Nothobranchius furzeri: one gene and its partners. Each later gene encodes a partner of the first gene's protein in a complex. Links are inferred from orthologs where the notes say so. Each region holds a gene or a part of one and is shown in the gene's direction. Other genes may lie near its edges.

Region 1 (3,960 bases):
ACCACCAAGGGTCCTTGCCTTCCCCCCCACTCGCAGAGACTTGTCTGTCCTCGGCTGCTAATTATCAACCCACTTTCTCCTCTGTGAGGCAGGGACAAGCCTGTGTTGCATGTTATTAATACTATTGTGAACTACTCAAGGCTGTGTTCCTTGACTCGGCTCATCATGTTACAGGTTTACTGTGCACAACAGAGAAATGGCAGACCCCGTTTTTTATAAAACCACCTATAAATATCACGGGGAACGGCTTTGTCCAGCAATGGTCAGATTCAGGATTTAAAGGCCTTCTTCCTGGGAAAAGAGGGGCTTTATACACATCAAGATGAGGAATTAACTCTGTTTTTGTCCATCTATTAACCAAGTCTCATATTTACAAATGGACTGTAAAATCTGGAAAGTGACACAGCCCCATCTAGAGGCCAAAAGCCCCAGACTGACGACACACTACAAAATATACGCATACAACTTTGTTTTGACCCCCAGGAGGTATGAGCTCAACTCAACAAGCCAATCACGTGATCGGATCTAATCCTGGAACAACACCTCTGGGGACACAAAAGCCATCCAGACCACAGAGAAAAAACCCAAACCCATCAGACTTCTGACTACGTAATCAGATCTAAAGGTCTCAGAAAAAAGTCTGGCAGACAAAAGGAGCTCAGGAAAAGTTTAGTCAGGCTACAAGACCTTTTTTCTGAGACCTTTGATGCAGTGCGGCCTGCTCACTGCCTGCTACTCCCGAAGAGGAAGCGAGCCTTTGTCACTCACTATCCATCAGTCATCATCCAAGACACGGCTGAAGACGCTCTTCTATGATTTGGCTTTCAGATTGTGACTTTTTAAAGTTCTCTTTTATTGTGTGTTTGATTGTAGTTTTTATCTGCTTTTATTGGCTGATTTATTGGTGTTTTTATGAGTTTTATTGTTACTGTATTGTTATGCGCATTTGGTCAGCTCCCATGCTGCTTTTAAATGAAATAAATAAATTGGTACGGTATGAAGTCAGAAGTCTGATGGGGTTTGAATGAAACCTGCTTTTTTCCCTCCATGCTCTGATGTCTGGCACCTGAGGGTGTGCTAAAACGAACAGGCTGCTGCAGTAGAGTCCTCCGTCCTGCGGAGGCGCTGTTCCGTTGCTGTTTGTTAAAAATCGGTTAATCAGACCGGTTAAAGATCCTGCTCGCGCGGAAACCTGCCATTGTAGCTAGCTCTCAACGCGGGTCAAACGTTAAGGTGCATTTGGTCCAGAAGGTGCAGTTTTTGTTTACCGAACACATTTCGTTGGTGTTTTGCTGGAGAGATGGCGTACAGAGGACAAGGACAGAAGGTGCAGAAGGTCATGGTGCAGCCCATCGTATCCTTTGTATGATGGAGAACGCGTGAGTGGAGCTAGGTGTTTAGCAGCCTGGCTAACCGGTGGCCCAGTTCGCTGAACGAACGCGCGGATTCCGTTCCAACTGTGTGATTCTGGTGTTTATGAAAATTAATGAGATGATGCACGTGTTCCGCATCATGTCGGAGAAAAAGAAACGGCCCCGAGGCGAACTTAGCAGCAAAACTAGCGCCGCTAATGCTAATGGCTCCGGTTAGCTGTACCGCTGGAGGTGATGGGAGCTTCTGATCTCCTGAAGCATCGGTTATCCAGAGTACTTTGTAGGACTTTGCAGTTGTAATCGAAAAGGTTCTGAGGACGCCATTGTACAGCTGCCCTCCGACCTCTTCGGGAAATGGCTAAAGGGCAAATTATTCTCTACTCTGACCACCTTTAATCTGCTCTAGCTCGAAAACGACACCACCTGCGCTCTTCAGCCCTGTACTGCAATATCCTAGACTAATGGCAGGTTACTCGAACATAGTTTAAATAGTCCATGATTCATCACATGTGAATTGGATGAACTAAACATTGAAGTTGGACGGTGAAGTTCTGAGTTTTAATTTTATTTTTGGTATTTTACATGAAAAGTTAAAGTCTGTTTATCTGCAGCACTTAATAGCTGATCAGTTTAATCCTGATCTTAATGGGCTTTGTAAACAGTTAGGCTCTGGTCATTTCTCATGTTTAACATTTTATTATCGGGTGAAACACGGGTCGCATTACCAATTTGGATTTTAATATTTAATTTCTACAAGATATACAGTCAGCAGCTATCAGATTATTAGAATTTAGAGTGAGCTGTTTAGCTGAATCCTTCTAACGAAGTGCCCCTAGTGCACACGCGATAATGAATCTTAAGTATACCTTGTTAGATACATGAGCTCCTTAAGGGCTCCTCTACTGAAAAGTACTTTTAAAGCCTGAATTAAACATCTGTCATATTTGAAACAGAGCTGTGAAACCAGGGACCACAAAAAGGTATTAAATGGCCTTTTAAGTAAAGCTTTCACAAATATCAGAGTTGATTTTAATTGTTCTGCTACCAGTGCAGAATAATCCAGTACAGGTTTGAAATGTCTAGGTATTGTTGTTTTGAAACTATGGCTGTTCAGTGTGGTCTAGATGCAGAAAACGTGCTAAAATCTGGTTTCTTGAAGTTTCACAAATCAGAAAAAGGTTTTACAAATCACAAATGATGTTTTTTGCAATCTGCTATTAGTCTAGAATAATCCAGTTCAGGTTTGAAGAGTGCAGGTGTTGTAGTTTTCCAGCCAGAGCAGATTAAAGATGGTCAGAGAAAAATTGGGCGTAATTGCCCTTTAGCGGTTTCCCGGATCTGAAGCCAACTTCAGCCTCGTCTTCCTCAGCCTTTGTGGTTTATAATAACAATAAGTGTAAACATGTTTGTTTGGGTCTAACTAAAGTAGAGTCGGTCAGTGGCATTGGCCCGAACACGAGCAGAACTCCTCTGTGCCGGGTCGGTTACATTGAGATTGTTTGGAGTGGAACCTGTAAGTGAAACCTGAATGAAGGCACGGCCCGAGATGTCCGACCATCAGTCCCAGCCCCGCTGTCATTTATTTTCAGGACATGGTTACCAAATCCTATGTACTGATTTTTATGTTGGCAGCTGCTGAGTGTAACTCTGTTACTTTAAAATGTAATAAGTTACTTTTAATGGCAATGAATAAAGGTAACACTACAACTGAGTACAAATGTAGGCTACAGACGTGCGTGTACTGTTACTGCTGAGCGTTGGTTTTCCTTGACTCTACCTTCAGAACCTTATCTTCAGATACCTTCAAAATGTAAGTTGCTATCCCTTTAGTTTGAAATGGTTTTATTTAGATGAAGAACCTCTAAGTTGTTCCCTGCCTGTCCCCAGCGCTCACGGATCCAGGTGTGGCTGTATGAGCAGGTCAACATGAGGATAGAGGGCTGCATAATCGTAAGTAATGGCTTTGTTTCATTCTTCCTTACCTCCATATGCAACAGGGATGCCTGATAGGTTATCTGCTGCTGGATACCCACGTGGATGGGCTGTTTTTCAGAGTGTTTTCAGGGCCTGTGAAAGGATTTTTTTAACTTTAAAAACTCACCTCACACGGCCCAGAGTTTCTCTAAAACTCATATTAAATATTGAACTTCCTCCGTGCCGTATTGTTCGTTGTAGGATGAAAACTTTACACTTGTCCTGCGGGAAAAGTTCAGCAGGTTCTTTTACGTTTTTGCTGCATTACAGCCTCATTTGGGTCCTAGTCCTTGATCTCTGGAGAACACAGCTGCACCATGAGAATATGAAAGTGTGTCAGGGCTAGGGTTGTCACGGTAACCGGTGTAGCGGTAAACCCCGGTAAAAAAGTTGACAATAGTAATAACCGTCTTGTTTTTAAAAAAAACTATATTATCTCGGTGGATTACCGTGGCTGCGGTGTAGGCGCGGTGACCCTTACCAGCCACCGTATCATCTGCTGAAGTTGCCGGCGGCACATGCGCACTTTGTTGTTTACAACCAAAACTTTCTTTAAGCTAAAGCTGAAATAATGGCCAGAGGAGGAGACGGCAGCACTCAGGACATTTATTAT
Region 2 (4,059 bases), on another chromosome or scaffold:
GATTAAAACTTCAAAATCTTCTCTAACCTCTCCATTATGAAGTTAAAATTTATATCTCAGACTTGATACACCTTAATGACAAAATACAAGTCCTGATACTTTGGTTTTAATTCAACCCTGATAAAAAAAAAAATCGTTTATCCAGTAATATTTTTCTCCCACTGTTTCTGTTTGGCTTAGGGGTTTAGTCTGTTTTTCCCAGATAGTAAGTACATTTTATTTATATAACACCCATCACAGACAGTAATCACAAAGATAAAAAAAACAAGACAAATTAAAGATGATTCGAGTTAAAAATAAGGCTATTTATGTAGATGGTGGTTAATTCTGCTCCCGCTTGACCAACACGAGTGTCAAAATTTAAAAGCGTGGTTCCTGCTCAGCTGAACTTCCATCCAGTCTTATAATTTACTGATTTACTGGATGACTGTAATGTCTGATGGCCTGTAAAGCATCAGTCGTCTGCAAAAAGTTCATATGTTCAGTCACTTCCTGTCTGTTGCTGCTTCTTCTTCTCCACCAGCTCTTTCTGTTTCTCCCTCCTCTCCAGGACTTCCATCATCCTGGCATAGTTGCGTTCTCGCTCCTGGGCCTTGAGCTCAACCACGTCTTCAAGGAACCTGTGTCTGCATAAACGACAAGCAAATATGTTTACGATTTGCTGCTAACTCATAGTATTTAATATTTTTGCTTCAGTCTCCAATGACAGTTTCACCGTCACACCGGTGTTACAGTGAAATGTGTTGTGCGTGTGTTTCTTTTACGCAGTTAGCAAAGCTCAGTTTCACCTGTTAATGAAAATAGTGGCGAGTCCAACCAGCAGAGTTCCGAACAAAATGGGTTTGGCGAGGCGCTTTCTCGCGGACAGCCGGTGGTGATTCATTGTTGCTGTTTTACTTAAATAAACAAAGCGACATAGCGTTTTTGTTAAGCTGACCTCCCGCAACGTGCGTTATGTGCTGTTGTACGAGCACATAAACACAAACACACCTTCTGCTCCTTAACTTCCGCTCAGCTGCCGGTGTTGTATCAATCTCTGTACACCATTTAAAATGTGTTTCCTCATCGGCTCGCGTAGCTCTCGCGTATTTCATTGCACAATTGTGACAGCAATGCTAGCATTTATAACGTTATAGGCGAGTTTATAGCAACGATGTTACGATTTCGTGTAGCTAAAAATGCGTTACTCTTTAAATCATGCGAAAGTGAACGGGGAACACATCTTCACGGACAAACAAGTTTTGATAAAACAGCGGAACAAATATCTACTTGCGCAGTTTTTCCGAACACTTATGAGCCGCGGACCCATACGTGAAATGAAAACAACCTCTGAATCAGCTATGAACGGTCAAGTAACTTAAACATCAGCATAATCTGATATCTGTGTGAATTTTATTTGAAGTGTTAAATGTGTTTTTGCTAAAAGATGAAGAGAAATGAGTCAGCTGAAGCGCCTGAACGGTTTGAATATTTACAGACGCTGGTTACTGAATTTCAGGACACTGACAGTGAAGGTAGGAATAACCTTTGATCTGTGTTCTACAAAGTTAAAATAAAAACCGTTTTAAAACGAACACGTAGACTCTCAACACCCTCAGTTTAGATGCATGCTATTATTTATTAGTGATGGGAATGGCTCAGCTCACCAGAAAGAGCCGGCTCTTTCGGCTCCCAAATGGCTCCTCAGATTTTCTGTTTCGTAGAGTACATTTATAACCAAAATAATGCAAAACTATATGTAAAATTATTTACTAATGTAAAAAAAAATGCAATATATCAAATATTTATAATTTCTATGGATTTAATAACTGAACACTTTAAGAAATTGTCACTTTCCGACTGCTGGCGCTCATTTTCTCACCGTCTTCATCACACTCTCCTCTCTATCTCGCTCACCTTTTTCCTCCTCATTCCCTCTCGTCTACCTCCACCTGCATGTGCTCTGCTGTGTGTCTGAGTCTGATTCTCCCTCTTCCCCGTCCCTACTGCTCTGTGTGTGGACAGTCTGGTCACACAGTTACACATGTTGACCAATCGCCTGTAGCGTTCACCAAAGCAAGAGGGGAGGGGGGAGGGGAGGGGACGGCTCCCAATGATGAGCCGGCTCCCGTTGTTCACTTCAAAGAGCCGACTCTTAGAGCCGGTTCGTTCGGACTGACACATCACTATTATTTATATCGTTAGAGGGCTTTTTCAGAAGCCGTTGTTCAGTCGAAAACTGTACTCTCCATCAGTATATTTATTTGAAGTGAGAGAAAAAAAATCGTCAAAAGAACATTTGTATATATGTTAGACCAGTTTTTATCCATTGCAATAGGAGAAAGGCTGACTATCAGCATTAGAATTGTGTTCAGAAGACAAAAAGATCACAAATACATGCAAATGACTTCATGAAGTTAAAATTTTTCGAAAAAGAATCTGTAAACATGACTAAATCAGGTAGAAGTGAACAAATACATCAAATAAGCTGTAATTCTAAGCAGCGTTTTAAGTTTTATTCTGAAAGTGTATCGTTGTGACATGAAATAAATGTAAGCTTAGTATTTGGAAACCAAAAAGTGACGTTATTTAACCAAATTCTGATTGTTCATTCTACATGTTAGTTCACTTTGAGATTACTGCCATAAGTAAACATTTTCTGTTGGATTTTACCGCAGAAAGCTGCTTGTTTTTATTTTTAAAAAAACGGTGTTAAAAATAAGTAGCCAGATAATGTGATGAATTAAATAATGCGCTAGTTCCACATCCATCCATCCAGTTGTAAATATCTACACTGGCTGCCATTAAACTATAGAAACGATTACTAAGTGCTACTGCTAGTTTATAAATGAGGCCAAAATACATGTTGGATCTCCTTCCTGTATATATACACCCAGCAGGGCTCTGAGATCCTTAGGAAACAGTCAGCTGGTAGAACCTCGGGTCAGAACCAAACAGGGTGAAGCTGCTTTTAGCTACTATGCTGCTCACAGATGGAATCAGCTTCTTTATGACCTGAAATGTGCCCCAACTCTAGTAACTTTTAAGTCAAAATGGAAGACTTTCATGCATTCATCAGCCTTTGAAGGATTATTTCTCATGCTGTACCTTCTGCGCTCAGTCTTTAACTTTGTCTTTTATTTTATTTCTTACATTTAATTTTATTAGAGTATTTAAAATTTGAATTTAAAAGCTGCTGTTTTACGTCGTCACGTTGATTTTAATCTTTTATGATCATGCTGGTCATGCACCTGGAAAGTACATTGAATAGCTTCAGTGTATGAAATGTGCTACACAAATAAAGCTGCCTCGCCTTTCTAGTTTACAGACAAATCTTATTTTTATACTGTCAGCTCCACATTTGAGCCTGAAGGGTGTTTTGATGTGAAAGTAAAAAGCGCCCCCTGTGGTATAAATGTGTACTGTTTCTGTGCTGCAGCCTCTGTTTATCATTGTTTGTAATGAGCTGGTGTAAGGTGAATTAGTGGATGTAGGTATCTCTGTTTGTTTCATTACTTTTTCTCTTTATCAGAGGCAAAGGAGCAGGTTCTGGCAAATCTAGCCAACTTTGCATATGACCCAAAGAACATGGAGTACCTGAGGGAGCTGCAGGTTCCTGACCTGTTCCTGGACATGTTGACCGAAGAGAATGAGAACTTTGTGGAGTTTGGGATGGGTGAGCATCTCTCCAACTAAAACAGTAAATCATGTTTGTTTATGTAAAAATCATCTAAACTCAAATATTGTGTTGACAGGGGGTCTGTGTAACCTCAGTATGGACCCTGGATGCAGAGACATCATCTTGGAGAACGATGGGATCAGCTTGATCACAAACCACCTGTCAAACCGGAGGGAGGAGACGGTGCTGTCTGCCGTCACCACCCTGATGAACCTCACCACACCAGCGACCTGCTCTCAGATCACAGAGCCAGGGATCGTTCAGTGCATGCTGCGCTTCTCACTCGCAGAGAGCCCCCGTCTGCGCAACCTGGCCTCGGTCTTCCTGCAGGACTGCTGCAGCCAGGAGCAGGTGAGACAGGCTGAGCTGCAGATGCAGGGGGTGCAGACGGCCATCGGGAT
Region 3 (4,258 bases), on another chromosome or scaffold:
ATTTGATCTGCCTCCTGCTGTGGTAGACCTCCTGCAGGAAAACGTTCAAACATGAAGCATCAGGTGAGTCATCAGCTTCCTGACACCAGATGGTTTTACTACATCACATTTGCTCCTGCTTGATCACAAAGGTGGATCAGTTTGAGTTGGATCACCATGGTAACAGAGACGAGGTTAGGAGTTATGCATAAAAGGTGAAACTAGTTCTCTGAATCTGTTTTTAAGGAACTCCAGGTAGAAAAATGTGAGTGAAACAACATTTAGATCTGATTTTTATCAGATCCTGGAACCAATCAGCTCACAGCTGTTGGTTCAATGTTTCATTAAACACAATTAAACTGATTTATTCAGGGTCAGATTTTTTGCATCTCTAGCCCGGTGGTCCTGTTGAGCCAGACTAAAGGAACCGAGCTCTGACGATGTGTTTGTAGTTAAACCCTCTGAAGAATTGTTCCATTGGACTTGTGTTGTAAACGTCAGACTCACTGCAGGTCGCCGAGGCTCATCCGGCAGCTGAGGCGGGAACACTTTCCGGTTCGCCCTCTCCCAGTGTTTTGAGTCCAGTGGAATGCTGGTGTGGACACAAGAGAGCTGCTGTGACATTCCAGCCAGAACCTGCAACCTGGAGAGAGAATGCAACAGACAAAACGTTATTGTGGTGTTGAGTCGTGGCCATGCCAAAGGGCATCAGGCATTAAACTATCCAGCCATCTTCATTCGCCAGAGAAACTGTGTGCTCTCCAACCCAAAACAAATGGTCTGTTTGTAACCATCTCTCCATAAGCCAGCCACGCCACCTGGGGAACAGCCATAGCAAGGTTCCTTATCTCTGCTGCAAGTTACAAGACGTCTCCTCCAACTTCCAGGACCGGGATTGGGCCCCTCTGCTCTAGAACAGGGTGGACATTAAATAAACGGAATCCTGCGATAAACCACTGCTTTAACACCTGAAGTATACCTGTATTCTGCCAGGGTTCTATTAGTAACCAAAGTCGCCTGTTAACGACAACTGTCTCGTGCATTTCGTCCTTCTGTTAGCTTCACAATTTCAAGTTTAAACCGTCTCACCTCGACTGGAACAAACCGGATGTGCTCCTGATGAAAGCAACACCTGCAAACAGTTATGAAAATATTAAAAACAGACACGAACACAAAAATATGTTAAATTTGAGCTTATTTATAAAAACTTCATTCACCGCGTCCTATCATCGCAGTCGCCATCTTGAATTTTTACGACACTTTCTGACACTCCTTTGGGGCAAAAACGTTTATTTTGTTGTTATATACTTTTACTGCTGTACATCCTTCTACTAACACAACATAAACACCCCAAACGTATGTATAGATAAGCTCTATTCACTATAATATAATATAAACGGTCAGTACATGAATTTAATAAAAGCACAATCCGCACAGTTTGACCCAGTTAAGATCCCGTATTGAGGACCGACAGAATTTACGACACCACGTTGAACGTACGGCATTGATGTTACTGCAACGCGAGTGAGAAGTACATGTGAGCTGTTTGTTTTGGTTCGATCCAGACTTCAATGTGTTGAATTTCTGACATTTAAAGAGCAACATGAACGAAAGGTCGCTTCCCGCCTCCCCTAACTGGTACTGCTCGCGCTGCAGTGATGTCAATAGCAATGGTTTACTGGGCTTCGGAGCCAACACCGTCATTTACCTGGTTGACGTTTCTGCGTCCTCTTGCAAGATTACAGGTGAGTTTACTATTCTCGTTACCTTTCATACGGGGGTTTCTCTGTGTCCGCTAACAGAACAGATGCGAAGAAAACATGATGACTAGAGTCTGGAAAGTTGTTAATCTACTGCTAGGAAGTTCCCATGTACCCACATTCTCTAGATTAAACACCAAACATGCAGATTAAACATCAGAAACACGTGGTTCAATCGGGATATGTGTGTTGGTTGTGAAGTTTGGTAGCTGGTGTGAGGTAGGGCAACATGGGGTCAGAGAGAAAAGTGTCCTCCACCGGTGGGAGAAAAGCCCCGCCCACGGAGACCCTATCATCCACCGGTGAAGGGTTACCATGGTGACCCTAATTAGCAACTGGTTGGCAGTTACCATGGTGATTCTAATGAGATGTTGTTTGTTACCATGGTCAGGCGCGCAGATAGGGGGGTGAATTTGTTTTCTGTAAAGATTGGTAATCTGAAAATCATTTAATGTTTTGCATAAAGCATGAGGTTGTGGTTAGTAATTAATTGGGAGAATAACAAAGGGCTGATGTGGATAGTGCTGATCAGGCCGAGCTTTGTTGCCAGTTGCATAATGGCTTCAAACACGTATATAATAGTGTTAGTTTTTTCGTAAACCATTGGATGAAATTACACAAACTGTTTGAGCTCTAGCTAAGGCTCTTGCAATAGTTTGTGTATGTGTGTATGTGTTTGGGGGAGGGTACATTGGAACTTTGTCCCAACCCCCCCCCCCCCCCCCCCCACCCCCAGTTTGAAAATCCTATCTGCGCCCTGACCATGGTCACACTGATAAGCCACCAGTGGGGAGTAACCATGGTAACCCTAATGAGACTCCAGTGGGGGGTTACTGTGGTGACCTTAGCAAGACACTGGTAGTTACCATGGTGCCCCAAATGAGCCACTGGTGGGGCGCTGCTATGGTGACCCTAATTATCCACCTGTGAGGGGTTACCATGGTGACCCCGATGAGCAACTGGCGGACAGTTACCATGGTGATTCTAATGAGATGTTGTTTGTTTCCATGGCAGGGAGTAACCATGGTAACCCAATGAGACTCCGGTGGGGGGGGGGGGGGGGGGGGGGGGGGGCTACTATAGTGATCCTAGTGAGGCACTGGTGGTTGTTATGGTGATCCCATTGAGTCATCAGTAGTTGCCATGGTCTCACTAAAGCCGGGCGTACACTGTGCGACTTTTTCACTCGTAGCACTCAGCTTCAGCTCAAACAGGGCAGATCTCACGAGTCATGTGCTCACACTGCACGACCCAGTTCTCGGATGTGACCTGACTGCTCACACTGAACGTCTGGTAGAAACACGTCGGACCTAAAAATATGCTAAAAATAGCAGTTTTTACACAACGCGTCAGACTTTTTTGTCTTGTCTTGCCTGTTGTCCTTCGGGAGTGCTGCAGGAGGACACACAGGGATTTATGGGGGTTGGATGAGTAAAACAAAATAAAGAAAGTAAATCTGTGTTTTGTGATCAGTTTAATTTGACATGAACACGACAAACACGCTTTCTTTACAATCTTTGTGAGTAAAAAAAATGTGTAGAAACAAAAATGAACAGTGTGTGTTAATAGGGAAATAGCGAGCGGCGTTGATGCAGGATTGCGCATGCGCCGTGAGCGGTTCTGATACTTTTTGGGTCGCAGCTGCTCGCAGCACTGCTTCAACAGTGCGATACCCTCACAAGGGACGAGCAAAATATTAAATACGCCAGAAGTCTGTGCGACCTCACGACTGCTGATCGGCAGCTGGTCACGTGGTGTTAATCGCCTCTCGTAACCCCCTGTACACTACACGACCGCTCGGCGCAAAACTCGCCCCGATGTCGTGGATTCTCGCAGATTCTCGCACGAGTGGAAAATCGGCTCAAAAAAGTGAAAAAGTCGCACAGCGTACGCCCGGCTTAACGAGCCACAGGAGGTTACCAAGGTTACCCTAATGAGACTCCGGTGGAGGGGCTACTATAGTGATCCTAGTGAGGCACTGGTGGTTGTTATGGTGATCCCATTGAGTCATCAGTAGTTGCCATGGTCTCACCAACGAGCCACAGGGGGTTACCAAGGTTACCCTAATGAGCCACTAGCAGCTGCTTTAACCTGTCTGTAGTTTTTGGTTCTTTTTACACTTCTTATGCACCAGAAGGGCGATGGGCTTTAGGCTGAAGCGGTTCTGGCTCATCTTACCATTCCTCCAGAAATCTTCTGGTTACAATTTATTTTTCCTTTATTTTTCTTTTTTTGTGTGTGTTGCAGGTGAGCTTACGGGCCACAGGGACTTGGTGTCGGGCTTTTCGTTCTGTCAGCACCCGGAGCAGAGTCACTTCTGCGTCAGCGCGTCTACTAATGGCACCGTTCACTTCTGGGACTCCAGCAATAAGACTCTAATGAGGGAGCAGGCTGCTCATCAGGTGAGACTCTGCTGCCCCCCCACACAGATGAGTGATTTATAAAGTGTATCGGTTCCTCCTGCTGGCTGCTGGATCAGCTCATGAAGCCATGGACACGGGCATCACAGCAGATAAACT
Region 4 (3,595 bases), on another chromosome or scaffold:
CATTAAACTGGGCCAATATTAACTGATAATTTTTCCATCTTGTTTTCATTTGTTTATCTGTTTCAGAGGGTGAGGGAGGTGATGTGTAATTGTTTAGTCATGTGACAGTGATTGCAATCATCTAACAGTGTAAACATGTGTGGTGTGTGTACATAACGTCAATTCAGCTTTAATCTTTACAAATCTGTTGATCTTAGAAGCATTAATGTCAGTATATCGGTATTGGCAAACATCGGTTATCGGCCATAACAGCGATATATCAGATATTGGTATCAGCCCCAAAGTTTCATATCGGTGCATTGCACTGAAGATTTCTGTTTATTCAACTTTTCAGGAATATTTATGAGCTTCAGGTAAAAAAAATGTCATAGCAGGAGGTCAGAAAATAATGAAATGCAAACCTGAACCATGATCGCATACAAGACTAAACTGTGACCTTCTTTCATCGAAGGATTGCGTAATTATACCAGTCACTATGGTGTCATGTTGTGAGGTAAGTGTCTAACCCACGACTTACAGAATCAGTTCACAGACTACGGTCGGTTTTAAACAATAAATTAATGGAGAAAACAAGGGAGCAGCATAAATGTAGCTGAGATCTTCAACAGGAGTCGGGTGCAGGAATCTGCAGACAGATGGAGGTTAGATCCAGCTTGAAAAGGGCAACAGGGACTTTAGAAAACTGGGGAAGCACTAAGATTGGTCTGTAATTATCATACTGTAGTAAACAAGATTTGTGGTTTTCTTAATTTGAACACTACATTTTATTGACCTTGTAAACATCCATCCATCCATCCATTGTCTGAACCCGCTTTGTCCACGTAGGGTTGCGGTGGGCTGGTGCCTATCTCCAGCGGTCAATGGGCAATCAGGCGGGATATACCCTGGACAGAAAGCCAGTCCATCGCAGGGCAACACAGAGACACACAGGACAAACAATCATGCACGCACACACACACACACACACACACACACACGCACACACACACACACACACACACACACACACACACACACCTAAGGACTGTGGGAGGAAGCCGGAGTACCCGGAGAGAACCCACGCATGCACAGGGAGAACATGCAAACTCCATGCAGAAAGATCTCAGGCTGGGAAGTGAACCCAAGGCAACAGCTCTAACCACTGCGCAGCCGACCTCGTAAACAATACAAGTAAAATAGGTTCTTGGAGTCCTGTCATGCCGGTCAAAATATGCACGATTTTTCTCCGATTGTTCCTGAACGCGTCTAGTTCCGGAAGTGACGCACCGTTGTGTACAGGAACGTTTCCTTTTCACTTTTGGAAGCAGCTTCGTAAGTGTTGTTGCTTTAAAAACGTATTTAAATTGTGTTGTTTATTTTAAGCTTTGTGTTTCAAACATGTTTACTCTCGTAATTATCTTGCATTGGGTTTTAAAAATAGGAAATGTTCCTTAAATTGCATTGTCACCCACGTTAGCCTGTTAGCAACTGATTAGCGGTGGAAGCTATCAAGCTAACTTGTGTTTTAAACAACATTTAGGAGGAAACTGATCGTTAAAGGTTTTAACTCATATTAACATTAGACTTATTATGATGTATATCTAAAATTACTTATTGTAATTTATGAATTGGTCAGTTATTTTCTGCTTTACGTTTTGCCAGAGCACGGCCATCAAAGATGACTACAGCTGCAAGACCAACATTTGAGCCGGCGAGAGGGGGTAGAGGAAAAGGAGAAGGGGATTTGAGTGCTCTTTCTAAGCAGTATTCCAGTCGGGATCTTCCAGGTCACACCAAGATCAAATACAGGTCAGAACAGTGGGTTCCAGTTTCTCAACCTTAAATATTTATTCGAACTACTTAAACTGTGTTTCTTTCATCTCAATTAAAAGGCAGCCTACCCAGGATGCCCCTGAGGAAGTGCGTGCCCGTGATTTTCGCCGAGAGCTGGAGGAGAGGGAGCGTGTAGCTGCTCGTGAGAAGACCAGAGAGAGGGGACCAAGAGGTGGATTTTTCTACTCATAATAAAGATTAGATCCAAAAAGGATGTATGCAACGGTTTCTGGCATAGTTCCTTTAATCTGTATTGTGTTGATTTTATTTCTTCAGAGCACACCACATCATCTTCTTCATCATCATCATCTTCAAAAAGGCCCAGACTGGATCAGATCCCAGCAGCCAACCTTGATGCCGATGACCCTCTCACTGATGTAAGGATTTACATTGCAATACATCCCAGACTTACACTGGATAAAGTTATTAATCCATTTTTACATTACAGGATGACGAAGACGAGAACTCAGATGAAGAAAGTGATGATGACGACACTGCAGCCCTGCTGGCTGAACTTGAAAAAATTAAGAAAGAGCGAGCTGAAGAGCAAGAACGCAAAGTAAAGAGTTTTAAGTTTGTGTTTGCTTTGGCTATAAATGAAAAGTGATGTTATAGAGGATGGCTTAACCTCCGTGTGCTTTTCTTTTGTTATTTAGGAAAGAGAGCAGAAGGCAGAGGAAGAGAGGATTCGAATGGAAAATATTTTGAGTGGAAATCCATTGATAAATTTAGCAGGACAGCAACAGCAGCAGCAGCAACAACAGCAACAGAGCCAAACTCAGAACACATTCAGAGTCAAGAGAAGGTATTTCTTATGTTCACTTGTTACAGCAAGAATGTTGGTTTTTTGTTTGTTTGCATTTGGAAAAACAAATATATTCCTTCACCACCACTAATAATTCTGATGTACTTCTAGGTGGGATGATGACGTAGTGTTCAAAAACTGCGCCAAAGGAGTGGATGAGGCGCGGAAAGAGAAACGTTTTGTCAACGACACGCTGCGCTCTGAGTTCCACAAGAAATTTATGGAGAAATATGTAAAGTAGAGGACTTTGTGTGTGTGTTTCATTTGATCTTTTTTAATTGAAAATGTTTTAGTTTCAAGCATTTTAATTGCAGCTGGCATTTATTTACAGTCTAACTAATTGGAAACCGTACTGTCTGCAGGTCAGTTGCTGTTTGCGTAAATCATGAAAGTTTGAAGCACATTTCAGAATGTGATTTCAGTATTTCTGTCATGCATTTTTCATTATTTGAATAAACATTGACTTTTTTCCCTTGAATTACTTTGCATAATTTCACAGAAATAACAGATTGTGCATTTTTTAATTTTAAAGGGTAAATTAACTTAAAAAGTTAAGTTTTATAAAAAATGCTAGGGGTGGGGTGCCTAAAATCAGCACAGAAATGGGTATGAAGAGTGTTGCTTTTCATTTAACCCTCCACTCCCTAGTGCTTTTTTTGTGCAAAAGGTAATGGGTTTTGCAAAAGTTCAAGGATGTGGCGAGGGTTAAAAGATACTTTGTAACTTGTTCATATTTTTAGATAATTTTCTTGAGCCAGTATGTGCTAAAATAACCCTTCACAGTGTTAATGAAATGCCACCCAGCCCCTATCGCCCCCTGTGGCCAAAATATCCCACTTGCAGCTTCACAGTTGCTGGTCTGATCTGTTGAACTTAGAAGAACTTGAGCTGACATACCTGGCGCTGCAGTCTAGTTCCAGCAAGTTTCCTGCATGGTTTAGATCATGAACACAGCTGATTTGTTTCATTTAGTGATGA
Region 5 (4,255 bases), on another chromosome or scaffold:
CCTATGATCTGAAGTCACCAATGAACACAAACCAGCTACGTTTCAGCTGAACCAAAGGACTTATTTCCACTTTGTTACTACCTGTGATGCTACCACTACTTTCAGGGTCTGGCCTGCACACATCAAAATCATAAAAAGATTCCTCACACTCACTCACTCACTCACACACACACACACACACACACACACACACACACACACACACACACACACACACACACACACACACACACACACACACACACACACACACACACACACACACACACACACACGTAAAGTGCCCAACCACAAACTACTCACTGAAAGGTGTTTACAGATCAGCCATGGCTGCTGACGCCAGTCAATGAGCCAAATGCAATGGAAATCAAATGAAGATTCATTTGATGATGTCTTTTATTATCCCATTATGCCTTCTCTTTCCCCATTAAAAAGCTCTTTCAATGTGGGACAGACCTGCATTAGGCCACTTTTATGTGTCCCGTAGCAATCCCCGAGACACATCTCCTGGAACAAACATACACGGGTATGTATATTATGTGTACTTTATGTTTATTCTAGTTCTTTGCATATCATTTGTGCAGTACACTGTGGCCATACTCAGTGTTGTAAAAATAGATAAAATTAGTTCATTTTAATGTTTTGTTTTTATGTCTAATGCTGTTTTGATTTGCATGAGATACAGATCATAAAAATACTGTTGTGGGTGATTCAATGATGGATCAATGTTCCATGGGAATTTAAAAAGTACCTAACACTGAGCTGCTTTATGAAAAGCCATGTAAAGCTGTAAATGTCAACTTGGAGCCAAGATGACAAGTAATGCAAAACTGTTCTATTTTTCTGAAAGAAAATGCAAATCAATCCTGCTACTGGATCAACATTTGCTTTTTAAAACAATACAGTTCAGTGTCTGGTGTAGCTGCATAAATTGCCCATCGTCATTAGACGATGCAGAAAATGTAGTCAACAGCTGATTTCCTTCAAAATCATGGAAATCAAGTTTATTCATTAAACTTTAGTCAGATGTACGTAAACACATATTCAGTCCTCTTAGAAATGCAATGTTCTACTTGTGGAGAATGAAAATCAATTTTCATTTCCATCATAACTCAACATTTATAGAAGAAAGAATGAAACAATCTTTTATATAGCGCCCCCAAGATAAAAATCGCGAGGTGCTTCTCAAGCATAAAAAATTAAAAACAAATACAAGTAAAAAACAGATTATAAATTAAGGAAACGTGATTAAAATGTAAATAGTTTCTTATAATTTTAGTTTTTATTTTATTTAATTTTATGTGTTTCAGTCTTTATAAAAAAAATAATTCTACATAAGAAGCTGAGTTTGTCAGTTTCACTAAATAATAGTCCCATAGACTGTACATACTCAATAGTCCTCAACCATGGGCGTTATTGAACTACGTGTCCCACAATGCATCGCGGTAGGTGCCACCGGAAACACTCGTTGTGACCCTTCGTTGCAGGCGGAAAAAAAGGCTCAAAAGGATCCCGAAAGCGTCAAACGCACGTTGCAGTTCAAGAAGAAATAACAATAAAGCAAATAACTCTTACGAACAAGTCAAGGTAAGTTACAGGAGTAACATTAATTAGTTTGAGGAAACGGAGTTCTCATTCTTCTATTGGTTTTCGTTATTTAGAAATTTCGATTTATTTCGTTCATGTGTAGCATGGCTAAGGTTACGCGCATTTTCAAAACTCCGTATGTTACTGTAAAATATTTAGGTATTTAACTATGCTTATTAATCGTAGTAAACTGTAAATAGCATTTACGGCCAATCATATTTACTGTTTGGAATTGTTTAATGGTAGTTTCTAGATAAATTTGTCCTGTAGCCTTGCTAGCTAGTATGGCTAACTGAGCTAGCGGTTAGAATGCTATCAAACATTCTCCACCAGACTCTTAAAAAAAGAGAATACCCAAGCGAAATCGTTTATTCTCTAGTAATGTTATAAAGTGTATTACTGCGTAAATTCATGCTAAATAATAAAAACACCTTCATTTTAGTTAAGTCTAAATACTATGTCCCACATGAAAGTTTCAATTAATGTAGCGTTCGGGTTCACAACACTTCTTTTGTTATGGCTTTTTGCACAAAACCTGTTTTCCCAGGGCGTCTTTCCTTATTTGTCTTAATTTCAGTGACTAGTATTAATCCACAGTCATGAAAAAGTTCACTCGCCTTATTCTGTTGCTTCTCCTACTAGTTGTAATGCAGATTGTAGATTTCAGTGCTGGAAACTGGGCAACCCGGCTAACCAATAAAGTTAAATGGATTTGGGTTGCCAATATTTAAGAGCAGACATTTCTGTGGGTGAGCACGTATAATCTTTTGCTTTGTGTGTTGTGTTCCAGGAAAAGCTTTGAAACATGTCCATCGGTGTACCAATCAAGGTCCTGCATGAGGCAGAGGGTCACATTGTGACCTGTGAGACCAACACTGGAGAGGTGTACAGGGGCAAGCTGATAGAAGCAGAGGACAATATGAACTGCCAGGTTGGTTTGTTTAGCAGTATGGTTTAAAAGGGTTCCAGTGATTTTTAATTGTCAAGAAAAGTGTCAATGAAAAGCCTTCAAAATACTGTTGATCATAAACATCCAGTCAGTGCTTGTTTCAATCCCATCTGCTGCCTGAATAAATTTTGTTTTTATTTCTCTTGCAAATTGCCTTTCTTGCAGCTTTTTAATGGGTTAAATTAAAAAAAATATTTAATTTTTATTTTGTGCACTCACAATAACTTGGGTCAGTAAATTTGGCATTTAAGGTGTTCTGTTAATGTGGATTTTTTGTGGGGTATGTAGTCATAAAAGCTTTTGTTTGTGTAATTACTGGTAAACTAATTTGTGTTTGGGATTAGTGTTCCCCTAAATTGCAAAACGTTTGGCCAAACAATGGTGTACATGGATGCTTGGTGTGAAGAGTTTTATTTTTTTGTAAAAGTGTTTCATTAAAGCATTCTTATCAGAAAGGCTTTTATGTTGGGTTTTCATTTTAAGTTGGTCTTTAGCTTTCATGATTTACCCAGTTCAGTCAGTTATTTAACTCTGTTGTTGCATCATAATTTAATAAACAGTCTAAAGTAACATCACTCTTCAATTGGATTCTATTTCAGCACACATTTTTATAAGGGTTGAATAAACTGAAATGTTAATTTACATTTGAGCCATGCTAGTTTGGTAACCTGTGTGCACCAAGATCCAGATAAGTAACAGAACTGGATTAATGGATGCTCACACGGTCATTTCACCTGTTGTGGACCTAAACTTGAATTTGTCCCTACAGATGTCCAACATCACCGTGACCTACCGCGATGGCCGGGTTGCACAGTTGGAACAGGTCTACATTCGCGGCAGCAAGATCCGCTTTTTGATCCTACCGGACATGTTAAAGAATGCTCCGATGTTAAAGAGTATGAAGAACAAGAACCAAGGCTCTGGGGCAGGAAGAGGAAAGGCAGCTATTCTTAAAGCACAAGGTGAGTGAGAAGCATTTGGACAATTTCTCCAGATGCTGAGACAGCGCTAGAGTTTAGTTCCCTCTTTAGCTGCTTGGCTCTTAAATAGTTGTTAATTACTTTTTTTTACAGGTAACAACAGTGTTCTATGTGGACACTTCTCACATTTTCTGAGGTGGAATGGTTTGAAAGACAGATCCCAATTCTTTTTTATCTAATATAAAGGGAAAAAAAGGCTTTTTCAAAGGAATGTTTAATGGTATTGTCTAATTTCTTCTCTTGTAGAAGTCCAACATAGTCAAAATATTTGAGTAGGGAAAATAGGGATTTGTGGGGGGGCATTTCTTCCAGACCAAAGAGATACCTTTTTTTGGAGTTTGACTTTTTATTTTTACTTTTAACAGTGGCTGCAAGAGGACGAGGTCGTGGTGGAATGGGGAGAGGCAACATTTTCCAGAAGAGACGATAACTTATTTTGTTTTAAATTTCATTGTTTGATGTCATCTTTTGGATTTACTATGCTTTGGTTTACTTTGCAGTCTTTTGCTCTACAATTTATCACTGTTTTTATTTTGTATGAAATAAACAGATTTCAGCTCAGTGTTGCTCTTCTTGACTGAACCTTTGCTGTGCTTTGCCCCATTGAAGCCCTTTTTTTGTAGTATTATTCAATTTTGAGTCCCACCTCTTTCATTTATATTGTGTATTGTAACCTTTTAGCAAGTAAAATTTGTACATTTACCCACGGAAAAGCATTTTACTGCATATTTATCCTAGT
Region 6 (4,237 bases), on another chromosome or scaffold:
CGTCTCCTCCTGCCAGAGCCTTCAGTGCCACACCTGATCCCTGCCTGGAGCGTCCGGTGTGGCTGAACAGTCGGGTCCTCTCCCCGCGGCGTTGCCAGTGCCACTCCACAGTGGTGTTTGCTCCCCGGTGGTCCACACTAAACTGGCAGTGGAGCTTTTGTTCAGATCTCAGGCTGGTTTTCACCAGTGGTGTTTCTGTTTTCATTACCATGGCAACTGTGAGACCAGATGGACAAAGACAGAACACAGAGAAACACCATCAAAGAACCAGAACTGGAGCTGTTGGCATTATGGAGTGAAACTAACTGACCTGATGTAGTGAGCATCTGTCCATCAGTGATGGGAACCCAGCTGAGGTAGTCCTGCTTTCCTGGTGGAGGCTGGTCAGACGGGTGTCTGAGGAAGCCGAGCACAGTGAAAAGGCCCTGGTTGTGTTTGAGAGAGACGGAGAACCAGTGGTTGTACTCCCTGGCCTTCTGACTGGGCCAGTGGACATAGATGCCCTGTGTGCTGTATCTACGCAGCTCACACTCCAGCTGTTCTGCCTCCACTCCCTCCACATAGTGCCGCATGTCCACCTTGGACCCTGCAGCAGAACACAGAAGAGTAAGGTGCAACCGTTGTCAGGTGTGTAATGGTGACCTGTGTCAGGTGGCTTACCTGTGACCTGAAAAGTGATGGTGCGTAGATCTACAGGAGCTTCTCCTGTCTGACCAAACTGCAGCACAGCATTTCTGGGGATCCGCTGGGTCTCTCTATGTCCTTCATTGTTCATAATCACCTGTTCATCTGTGAAGTGACAGGGCAGCCATAGTATCTGCTGGCTACAGTAGACCCCTGGAGACAGACCAACAACTCAAAGCAGCTGATCCGAGTGGGCTTCCTCCAAAAACACAAACTGTCCCCACACTCGCAGGGATACAAGCCTTCTGAAGACTTACCTGTCCAGATAAAACCGTAAATAAGAATCCTGCAGGGTGGAACCATGGTTATTCATCAGATCTACTGATCCTTGTTCCTGCTTCATTCAGCTGCACATTTATTCTCAGAACACTTTCGCTTTCATTTACAACGAAAAAAAACCTGCTTTGCATGCAGCTGCATCACGTGACGAGCAGAGACAGTTTCACAAGGAGAAATACTGCAAAACACTTTTAAATGTCACTAAAAGCGAGTAACGTTTAAACCATCACACGTAGGGCTGAACCGGTGTTCCGGTCTGGCGGCAGCACTGGTGAACGCGGTGTCTAGTCAACAACGCAAAACCTCGCAACAGTAAAAACAAACCAGTCAACAATCCAACAGAAAAGGCGAGGAAAACAACAACAACAACAACAATAACAACAAGGTGAAGCAGGTTTGGCGGTTTGCTGGGTTAATGCGGCTGCAGTACCGTATCTATCCAGGGGTGGCGCTGTGGGGACGCCTCGCCACCTGACAGCAGCCCGGCTTCCTGCTGGAAACCGGAAGCGCCTTTCCTGGTAACGAACTGGTTCACGAGGCGGGCGGGTGTATGTTCCTGCCTCCGCAGCCATGGACAAAGGTAATTATTAATGTTAGACATGTCTCGTGAACTTGCGCGAGCTTCGTCTCCAGTCGGTAGAGACGAACATGGCGCTAAACGCTCAGGCTGAAGCAGCAAGCTGCAGGTTTGAAGAGCCCTCTCCTAGCCAGTCGTTCGTTCTGGACCTGCTTCACCTGCAGCCTGCCCCCCCTTCACACACACACACACACACACACACACACACACACACACACACACACACACGCACACACACACACACACACACACACACACACACACACACACACACACCTGGATAACGCTGATCTCGGCCCAGCTCGGGTCTCAGCCTGTTGCTTGCCTGTTTTTCAGATTCCGCCGTGCTCCAGGGAGCTTTCCTCCAGGCAGACAAACTGTGCCTCCCCTCATCCCTGTCCCTGATGCAGAAGGCGGACTGGAGTCGTGTGAAGCTCCCGATCCTGCAGGCCCTCAGAGACACCTGTGGGCTGAGCGCTCTGGCCTGGCAGAAGAAGGTTGTTTGTGTGGTGTGGTTGAAGCTGATGAGCAGTGAGGCTGAGGAAGATGTGGAGAAGGGGTGGAGGGACAACCCTTTCTTCTGCCTCCAGAACGGCCTCCCTGACGTAAGCCGGGCTGTTCTGCTGGAGCTGGTGAAGTCACTCTCAGCTGCGCCGGTCTTTGCCCGCTTGCTCCTGCGTCTGCCTCAGCAGCAGATCTGCACCGAGCTGCAAACGCTGGCAGAGCATCTGAGGACGGATCCCAGTCCTGAAGACGTCTGCTTTCTGTTGGAGGTGTGGTGGGAGCTGTGGAAAGGCAGAGACAAATGTCAGACGCAGGAAGACAAAGACTTAGAGATGATGTTTGTCAGCCAGTTTGCACGCCTGTCCTCCGATTGTCCCAGTGTCTCGCCTCAGGCTGCAAAACGCTTAAAGCTGGACCTTCCTGCATCGTCAGCAAACACAGACGTTCTGCACGTTCTCCTCCATGCTCTTAAGAACATGAAAGATCAAGTATCTACTACAGATTTGTGCCTGCAGTCCCTGTTAGTCTGCCTCGACGCTCTTTACACATCCTTCCTAACAGACCCAGAGGTTGTGCTTCCAGTTGAAGAGAAGTTGCTCATCCTCTGTAGGCTTGTTGACACCAGAGGACAGACGCAGGCGTGGAGCCCCAAACTCCTTCAGGAGGCTCTGAGAGACCTGCGTGCTGCTCACTCACCAGCTCCTTTTCAGCCCAGCAGGATGACGCTGAGCCAAGCTTTGAAGATCGTAGCAGAACTCACAGAATTCTGGCTGGAACAGGATCTCCTGAGCGCTCCTGGCTGCTCCGCGTTCCTGCTGCAGCAGAGCGTCCAGAGAGTCCTGGCAGCTCTAGAAGAAACGGGAACATCTGAGCATGTGACTGAGAAGAGCACACTCAGAGGTCTGCTGAGTTCACTGTCTCTTCCTGCCGTAGAGACCCCCCCTCAGGTGCAGGCTCAGGTCGCTGCCACCGTCATCAGTCACCGCCTGGAGGACTGTGAGGAGTTTGCTGCGCTGTTTGCCAGCCAGTTGTCCTGGACTCATGAAGAGCTGTGGGTGGACTGCCTGGAGAAGAACCACACGGCCTTCACGCAGCCCAACACCCTCATCAGCCTCTCCTCCACCCTCGTGAGTCGCCTGCAGCGTGGGAACGTGAACACCACCTGGTGCAGGAGAGCCATTAAAACGGCTGCAGATGTCTTCTCTGCTCTTTCGTTAGAAAACCAGAACAAGGTCCTCGCTGCAGTACCGAGCCGCTCCAGCAGGGGCTTCTTTGGCTGCTCTGTCCCCTCGGCTGTGGCAGACGGCTTTGAGCAAGAGCTGAACATGGCCTTTAACTGCCTTATCCAGGGAGGGGGCGGGGCCTCAGCAGCAGTGTCCCAGGGCCGCCTGACCACAGCAGCCTCTCTGGTAGCTCGAGTGGCCTTTCAGAGCCCAGAGGCGGCTTTAAGGTCCTGCTGCCACGCCGCCGTTTTCAACAGGGGAGCCTTCAGCCTCATGGCAAAGATCCTGCAGCAGCTGCCTGGACTCCGCGGACGGAGGGGAGGGGAGGATGAGGCAAACGGAAACGATGTGGAGCAGCAGGAAGCTGGAGGGCGTGGTAGTCTGTTCTGTAGGTGTTTACAGACGGCGGTCAGAGGCAAGCCACTGTCCGCCTGTGAAAAGGAGCAGCTCCTCAAGTTCCTGTCTCTGCTCATGGCGCCGGGCCCGACGCTCCAGGGAGAGCAAGAGACACAGAGGTTCTTGTCTCCACAGGAGGTGGTCAACACACTGGTCCTGCCTCGCCTCTCAGCTGCAGGTCGGGGTCCATGCTGGCTTTAATCTCATCTGTGTGTGATCTGTAAACGCTCGTCACATTCTGCTGCTGTCCCATCTGTGTTTCTGCAGCTGAAGAGTCCTGCGATGCAGAACTGAGTCTGCAGCTCCTCCACGCTGCTTTGGCTGTGGGTGTCCAGGAAGTAGCCCCCTCCCCTCACTGGGTGTTGGACTGCTCTCCCTTCCCCCTCCTCTATATTCTGGCCCAGCAGTACAACCAGACTCTCATGTGTGTATGATCCCGTGTGTGTGTGTGTGTGCAGCGGTTGTTGTTGGGCTTCTACTCATCTGATCTCTGTTAGGTGCTGGGAGCGGTCGTCGGAGGACAGCGACCACCTGAGCTCCATGGACACCAAGGAGCTGCTGGAGTCGGTGCTGA
Region 7 (4,122 bases), on another chromosome or scaffold:
TTGAGAACCAGTGAACTCCTCTAGAAAGATCATGGTGAGATTCTGCACACAGTCTGGGCCAAAACCAGTTCATCAGAGACCACCGACAGATGGGACTGGAGAGCAGAGACACTGATGGGACTATACCTGCTTGAACCTGAGGGACCAAGGCAATCAGCATGGATGACTGGTTTGAGACTGGAAGCCTTCCCACACCAGGGTGACCAGTATAAGGAGTAGGGATGGATTCCAGATGTGGTACTTTTTAAGGCACCGACTGAATTATGTGGTACCCACCAGGGATCAATTCTCCTACGACTGGCTTTTTCATATAAGAGGAAACCGTCTTCCCTTGCTGCAGAGTTTTTATGTTTACAGCCGGACCTTGAGTTTTTTGAAGAAAATGTGAATTCAATTCAACTCAAAGCTTTGTTTATAAAGTGCCTTCCGCGACCTTGTCAGGGAGCCCAAGGTGCTGTACACAGTACATAAGAAACATAAATCACAATGAATAAATAGAAAATAAAAGCAATTAAAATAGTGCAAAGGGGGTAAAACATTGAAGTAGAAACAAATAGATAAAACAAGGGAACTCATCTCTATACCAACCATTCTGTCCTGTTTTGCACCATACCAGTTTCCGTTTTTTATTCATTTATTTATTTTAATAAAAGAAGCAGACAAACGCCAAATGTGAGCTTGTCATAAATCTTGTTGCATTTTATCCCACTGTTAGACTGACTTCTTTTCTCTGCTGGGTTTATCTTATCACCTAATTATTAGACTATCTTATGTCCTTGCTTTAATGGGTTAAGGCTGTTTACAAGTTTGAGCACATCTGTCATCATCTGTTTAAATGTGTGTCATCTAATCACAATTTAAATCAACGCTGATTAGGATTTAGACCTATTTTTCACCAGTTTTCATTATTCTAGAAGAAAAACATACCTGCTGCACACAGCTGGGCAAAATAGGGCCATTTACATATATTTCATACGTAGGTAAGGCACACATAGGTTTATCCTATTTACCAGGGCTGCCGACTTCTTTAAAAGTCTCAGAGTGAGATTTTCTTTATTTTAACATATCTCTCTCTCTCTCTCTCTCTCTCTCTCTGTGTGTGTGTGTGTGTGTGTGTGTGTGTGTGTAGGGACGTGGACTATTAGGGTTTGTTACGCAAAGTGATATTAAGGCAGATTTAATTTTTCAGAGGCAAATTAGATGCTGTAATCACACTTAAGTGTGTAAAAAAACACAATGTTGATTAATTATGAGCAAAACATGTCAAAGAAATGGATACGATTCAAGCTGAATATGTTGAAGACCTCTGGCTCCCCCTGGTGGTAGTTGTCTGTATTTGCAGCGCTCCCTGATACGTCATCAAAAGCGGACGCGACTACTGAACAAAGCTACCGCAAAAATGGTGAGCTAACCTCGTTCAATATTCAAAATGTATTTAGCATGACACCAAACACATGACAGTTAAATAAGTCGTTACCTTAGTCTTTGTGTAACTGTTAGTGTTTCCATTCTCTCTTTGTTCATAAACTGTCGTGCTCGACGTGTAGCGTGCAGCTACACGCTAACGTTAGCATGTCGTTGTGCTCCGCAGCTTTTCTACTCGTTTTTCAAGTCTCTGGTTGGGAAGGACGTAGTGGTGGAGCTCAAGAACGATCTGAGGTTAGTGTTTTACGGCTTGGCCTCCACTGCTGTGATAAATCGTTGAAGCTGTTGTTCATTTGCAGGAAAGAACGCTAGCAATTCGACCCACTGTAGCACCACGTTGGAAACAAGTGGTCTCTAAACGCGAAGCTTTGAATGAACTTCTGCTAAAGCTTGAGCTATTTCTTTGTATATTCCAATGGACTTGTAGCTTATTAGTACTGCGACGTTTCTACACGAGTCTGACTCGGAAATTAAGGCAACCGAGCTAAACGAGCCATGTAGCCTATTCAAAAGTGTCCAAATGTTTGTTTTCTTGAATATTTATCCACACATCTGTTTTCAGCATCTGCGGAACGCTTCATTCTGTTGACCAGGTATTGAAAATACACTTTTTGAAACTCTTTCAGACAAACTTCTGCAGTTTTTTGACATTTACATTCCTACTCTTTTTGGTTTTTAGTACCTGAACATAAAGTTGACAGACATCAGTGTGACGGATCCAGAGAAATATCCACACATGGTAAGTAGCATACTTGAGACACATCGGTCCTAAGGTCACGTTGCTTCAGATGTCTGTAGAAATCTGAGGCTAATCTCACTACGAGTGTTTTCCACATTCACAGCAGGGTTAACAAACACAAACTCAGCCCTCTAATTGGTAAAAAGGTGTGATTATTCACTTAAACCAAAGATGCGACAGATTTTTGTTTTGTTTTCAGGTCGAGTACTAAAGCCTTACCTCTAGTCCTCAGAAAATAAAAATACAACTTAATAGGGCTGGATGAAAACTTATTTGTCAGTGTCCTTTTGCAGAATTCCAATTTTACAATATTATACCTCCATATTTTTTCTTCTGTAAATATTTGCAAGTTAACTCCCTTCAAGCTGTCTACAGAAAGTGTAATCATAAATTCATCAGCAGATTAAATGCACAATTTAATCAGATTCTTGTCAAACATCAACCTAAGTGCCATTCTCTATCAGTTTGAGCTGTAGAAACACTTGTACAGCTGTATGCTAACACACATGTAGGTTTAGATATTTATGCCGCTGGTTTGACCCGTCTCTCAGCACCAGCAGGATAAATAAATCTCCGTCAGCAGCCACGGTGAAAAGTAGCGATGTAAGACAATATCGATATGGCAATATATCGTGATGTTTTTTCCTGCAATATTATATTGATATCCAAAAGCCATGTGTTGAACTTTTTGGAATAGTTTACATGCAAACATTTGTGTATTTTCTTTTCTTTTGGTGCAATTCAAACACTGACCGCTAGCTAGCAGCAGTGTGCATTGGGTTTTGTTTCCACCACTGAAATATAAATCCCTCTATTATGGTTCAGATACCTCATGTTTAACATGTTAAGTATCAGTTTGGACTGTTTATTGAAATTTTCTACAATAAATTCAGTCTAAAAAATCGCTGATATCGTCTGGCTGAATGTATCGCAATATATCGTGATATATCGTATCGTCTTCCCTGTATCGTGATACGTATCGTATCGCCACAATTTCACCAATACACATCCGTAGTGAAAAGGCTCACTAAAACACGAACAAATGTCCCCAAATAATTAAAAACCACTAATCCAAATGCAAAGTTTAGGGCAGAAAATTGACCTAGAGGTTTCCTGATCGAGCAGACACGTGAGAATACATGTAATGATCGCATAGAGACAGAACAAGCTAGTGGATAGCAATAGCTGCACCTGCTAATGCTAGAAATTCACTGTTTTTATATTTATATTGATGTAAAGATATTGAGTCATCAGGTTTCTTGTTTGAAATTATATCCACATTTAAAAAATCTCAGCCCTACAACTGAAAGTAAATGGGTTTTTAACTAGAAATTTATTTCAACCATACTTACTCACAACTTGGCTTGCTCATGGGTATCTCCTTAAAAATGTATCAAATCTTGACAAACTAGTTTTATTTTTACCTGAAGTCATAAAAACTCAAGGAAAAGTGATTTTTAAATAGTCTAGATTAACTCACAAACCTGTGGATTTGTAGCCCACAAACGGTTGTGTTTTATTAACACTCTCTGCAGCAAAGATGCTTTTAGTTAATACGTTTACTCGGACGTTCCGAGGACTCACCTTTACCACAAGGGTTAGACTGAATGAGCTTTCCACCGAACGTGAAAGCGTCATGAAATGGACGCTAAACTTACCTCGCTGAAATTAGCCACCGTTATAGCGAATAGGTTCCTTTCTACCGGCGGCTAGTGTGTAAGTGGCAAAAGTGTACGCCATCGTTACGCTATTTGTTTATGTGCTACCCTTCCAAAACCATCAAACCGGCCGGACAGGAAGCCGAACACAGAGGCGGTGTCAAACATCCCAAAACGTTCTAAGTAAGTCACGTTCAGATAGACGTACATCATTTCCTTTGAAACCCCCGTAGCCAATGTAAACGGAACAGAACAGACCTTGTGGATACCTGCAGCTGTCTTTCTCCTTGCCTGTTATTG

Evidence for each region.
Region 2: snrpe (region 1) and armc7 share a complex: the UniProt entries of both Homo sapiens proteins name them as parts of the minor spliceosome. The link is inferred for Nothobranchius furzeri from reciprocal best matches to the Homo sapiens genes SNRPE and ARMC7.
Region 3: snrpe (region 1) and gemin5 share a complex: the UniProt entries of both Homo sapiens proteins name them as parts of the SMN-Sm complex. The link is inferred for Nothobranchius furzeri from reciprocal best matches to the Homo sapiens genes SNRPE and GEMIN5.
Region 4: snrpe (region 1) and cwc15 share a complex: the UniProt entries of both Homo sapiens proteins name them as parts of the minor spliceosome. The link is inferred for Nothobranchius furzeri from reciprocal best matches to the Homo sapiens genes SNRPE and CWC15.
Region 5: snrpe (region 1) and snrpd3l share a complex: the UniProt entries of both Homo sapiens proteins name them as parts of the U7 snRNP complex. The link is inferred for Nothobranchius furzeri from reciprocal best matches to the Homo sapiens genes SNRPE and SNRPD3.
Region 6: snrpe (region 1) and gemin4 share a complex: the UniProt entries of both Homo sapiens proteins name them as parts of the SMN-Sm complex. The link is inferred for Nothobranchius furzeri from reciprocal best matches to the Homo sapiens genes SNRPE and GEMIN4.
Region 7: snrpe (region 1) and smx5 share a complex: the UniProt entries of both Homo sapiens proteins name them as parts of the U4/U6-U5 tri-snRNP complex. The link is inferred for Nothobranchius furzeri from reciprocal best matches to the Homo sapiens genes SNRPE and LSM2.

The regions. Positions count from the first base shown.
Region 1 is NC_091743.1:2,209,503-2,213,462, forward strand, and holds the start of snrpe (small nuclear ribonucleoprotein E), read left to right. Parts: upstream 1-1,160; 5' UTR 1,161-1,300; coding exon 1,301-1,354; intron 1,355-3,156; coding exon 3,157-3,183; intron 3,184-3,260; coding exon 3,261-3,323; intron 3,324-3,960. UniProt on the Homo sapiens protein: Plays a role in pre-mRNA splicing as a core component of the spliceosomal U1, U2, U4 and U5 small nuclear ribonucleoproteins (snRNPs), the building blocks of the spliceosome.
Region 2 is NC_091756.1:50,515,179-50,519,237, forward strand, and holds the start of armc7 (armadillo repeat-containing protein 7), read left to right. Parts: upstream 1-1,259; 5' UTR 1,260-1,292; coding exon 1,293-1,352; intron 1,353-1,426; coding exon 1,427-1,514; intron 1,515-3,511; coding exon 3,512-3,655; intron 3,656-3,734; coding exon 3,735-4,059. UniProt on the Homo sapiens protein: As a component of the minor spliceosome, involved in the splicing of U12-type introns in pre-mRNAs.
Region 3 is NC_091750.1:72,354,333-72,358,590, forward strand, and holds the start of gemin5 (gem-associated protein 5), read left to right. Parts: upstream 1-1,458; 5' UTR 1,459-1,582; coding exon 1,583-1,724; intron 1,725-3,986; coding exon 3,987-4,141; intron 4,142-4,258. Other genes in the region: mrpl22 (large ribosomal subunit protein uL22m), read right to left, coding at 1-31, 487-622, 1,069-1,111, 1,197-1,221. UniProt on the Homo sapiens protein: The SMN complex catalyzes the assembly of small nuclear ribonucleoproteins (snRNPs), the building blocks of the spliceosome, and thereby plays an important role in the splicing of cellular pre-mRNAs.
Region 4 is NC_091750.1:48,553,597-48,557,191, forward strand, and holds cwc15 (protein CWC15 homolog), read left to right. Parts: upstream 1-1,160; 5' UTR 1,161-1,311; intron 1,312-1,396; exon of another isoform or gene 1,397-1,539; intron 1,540-1,641; 5' UTR 1,642-1,657; coding exon 1,658-1,788; intron 1,789-1,871; coding exon 1,872-1,984; intron 1,985-2,088; coding exon 2,089-2,189; intron 2,190-2,260; coding exon 2,261-2,371; intron 2,372-2,468; coding exon 2,469-2,617; intron 2,618-2,728; coding exon 2,729-2,858; 3' UTR 2,859-3,095; downstream 3,096-3,595. UniProt on the Homo sapiens protein: Involved in pre-mRNA splicing as component of the spliceosome. Component of the PRP19-CDC5L complex that forms an integral part of the spliceosome and is required for activating pre-mRNA splicing.
Region 5 is NC_091746.1:48,714,724-48,718,978, forward strand, and holds snrpd3l (small nuclear ribonucleoprotein D3 polypeptide, like), read left to right. Parts: upstream 1-1,455; 5' UTR 1,456-1,587; intron 1,588-2,377; 5' UTR 2,378-2,392; coding exon 2,393-2,518; intron 2,519-3,305; coding exon 3,306-3,498; intron 3,499-3,881; coding exon 3,882-3,946; 3' UTR 3,947-4,077; downstream 4,078-4,255. UniProt on the Homo sapiens protein: Plays a role in pre-mRNA splicing as a core component of the spliceosomal U1, U2, U4 and U5 small nuclear ribonucleoproteins (snRNPs), the building blocks of the spliceosome.
Region 6 is NC_091753.1:62,515,922-62,520,158, forward strand, and holds the start of gemin4 (gem-associated protein 4), read left to right. Parts: upstream 1-1,437; 5' UTR 1,438-1,533; coding exon 1,534-1,543; intron 1,544-1,876; coding exon 1,877-3,841; intron 3,842-3,930; coding exon 3,931-4,087; intron 4,088-4,160; coding exon 4,161-4,237. Other genes in the region: dhrs13b.2 (tapasin-related protein), read right to left, coding at 1-216, 311-586, 661-837, 942-987. UniProt on the Homo sapiens protein: The SMN complex catalyzes the assembly of small nuclear ribonucleoproteins (snRNPs), the building blocks of the spliceosome, and thereby plays an important role in the splicing of cellular pre-mRNAs.
Region 7 is NC_091756.1:60,995,450-60,999,571, forward strand, and holds the start of smx5 (smx5), read left to right. Parts: upstream 1-1,322; 5' UTR 1,323-1,399; coding exon 1,400-1,402; intron 1,403-1,591; coding exon 1,592-1,659; intron 1,660-1,987; coding exon 1,988-2,018; intron 2,019-2,104; coding exon 2,105-2,164; intron 2,165-4,122. UniProt on the Homo sapiens protein: Plays a role in pre-mRNA splicing as component of the U4/U6-U5 tri-snRNP complex that is involved in spliceosome assembly, and as component of the precatalytic spliceosome (spliceosome B complex).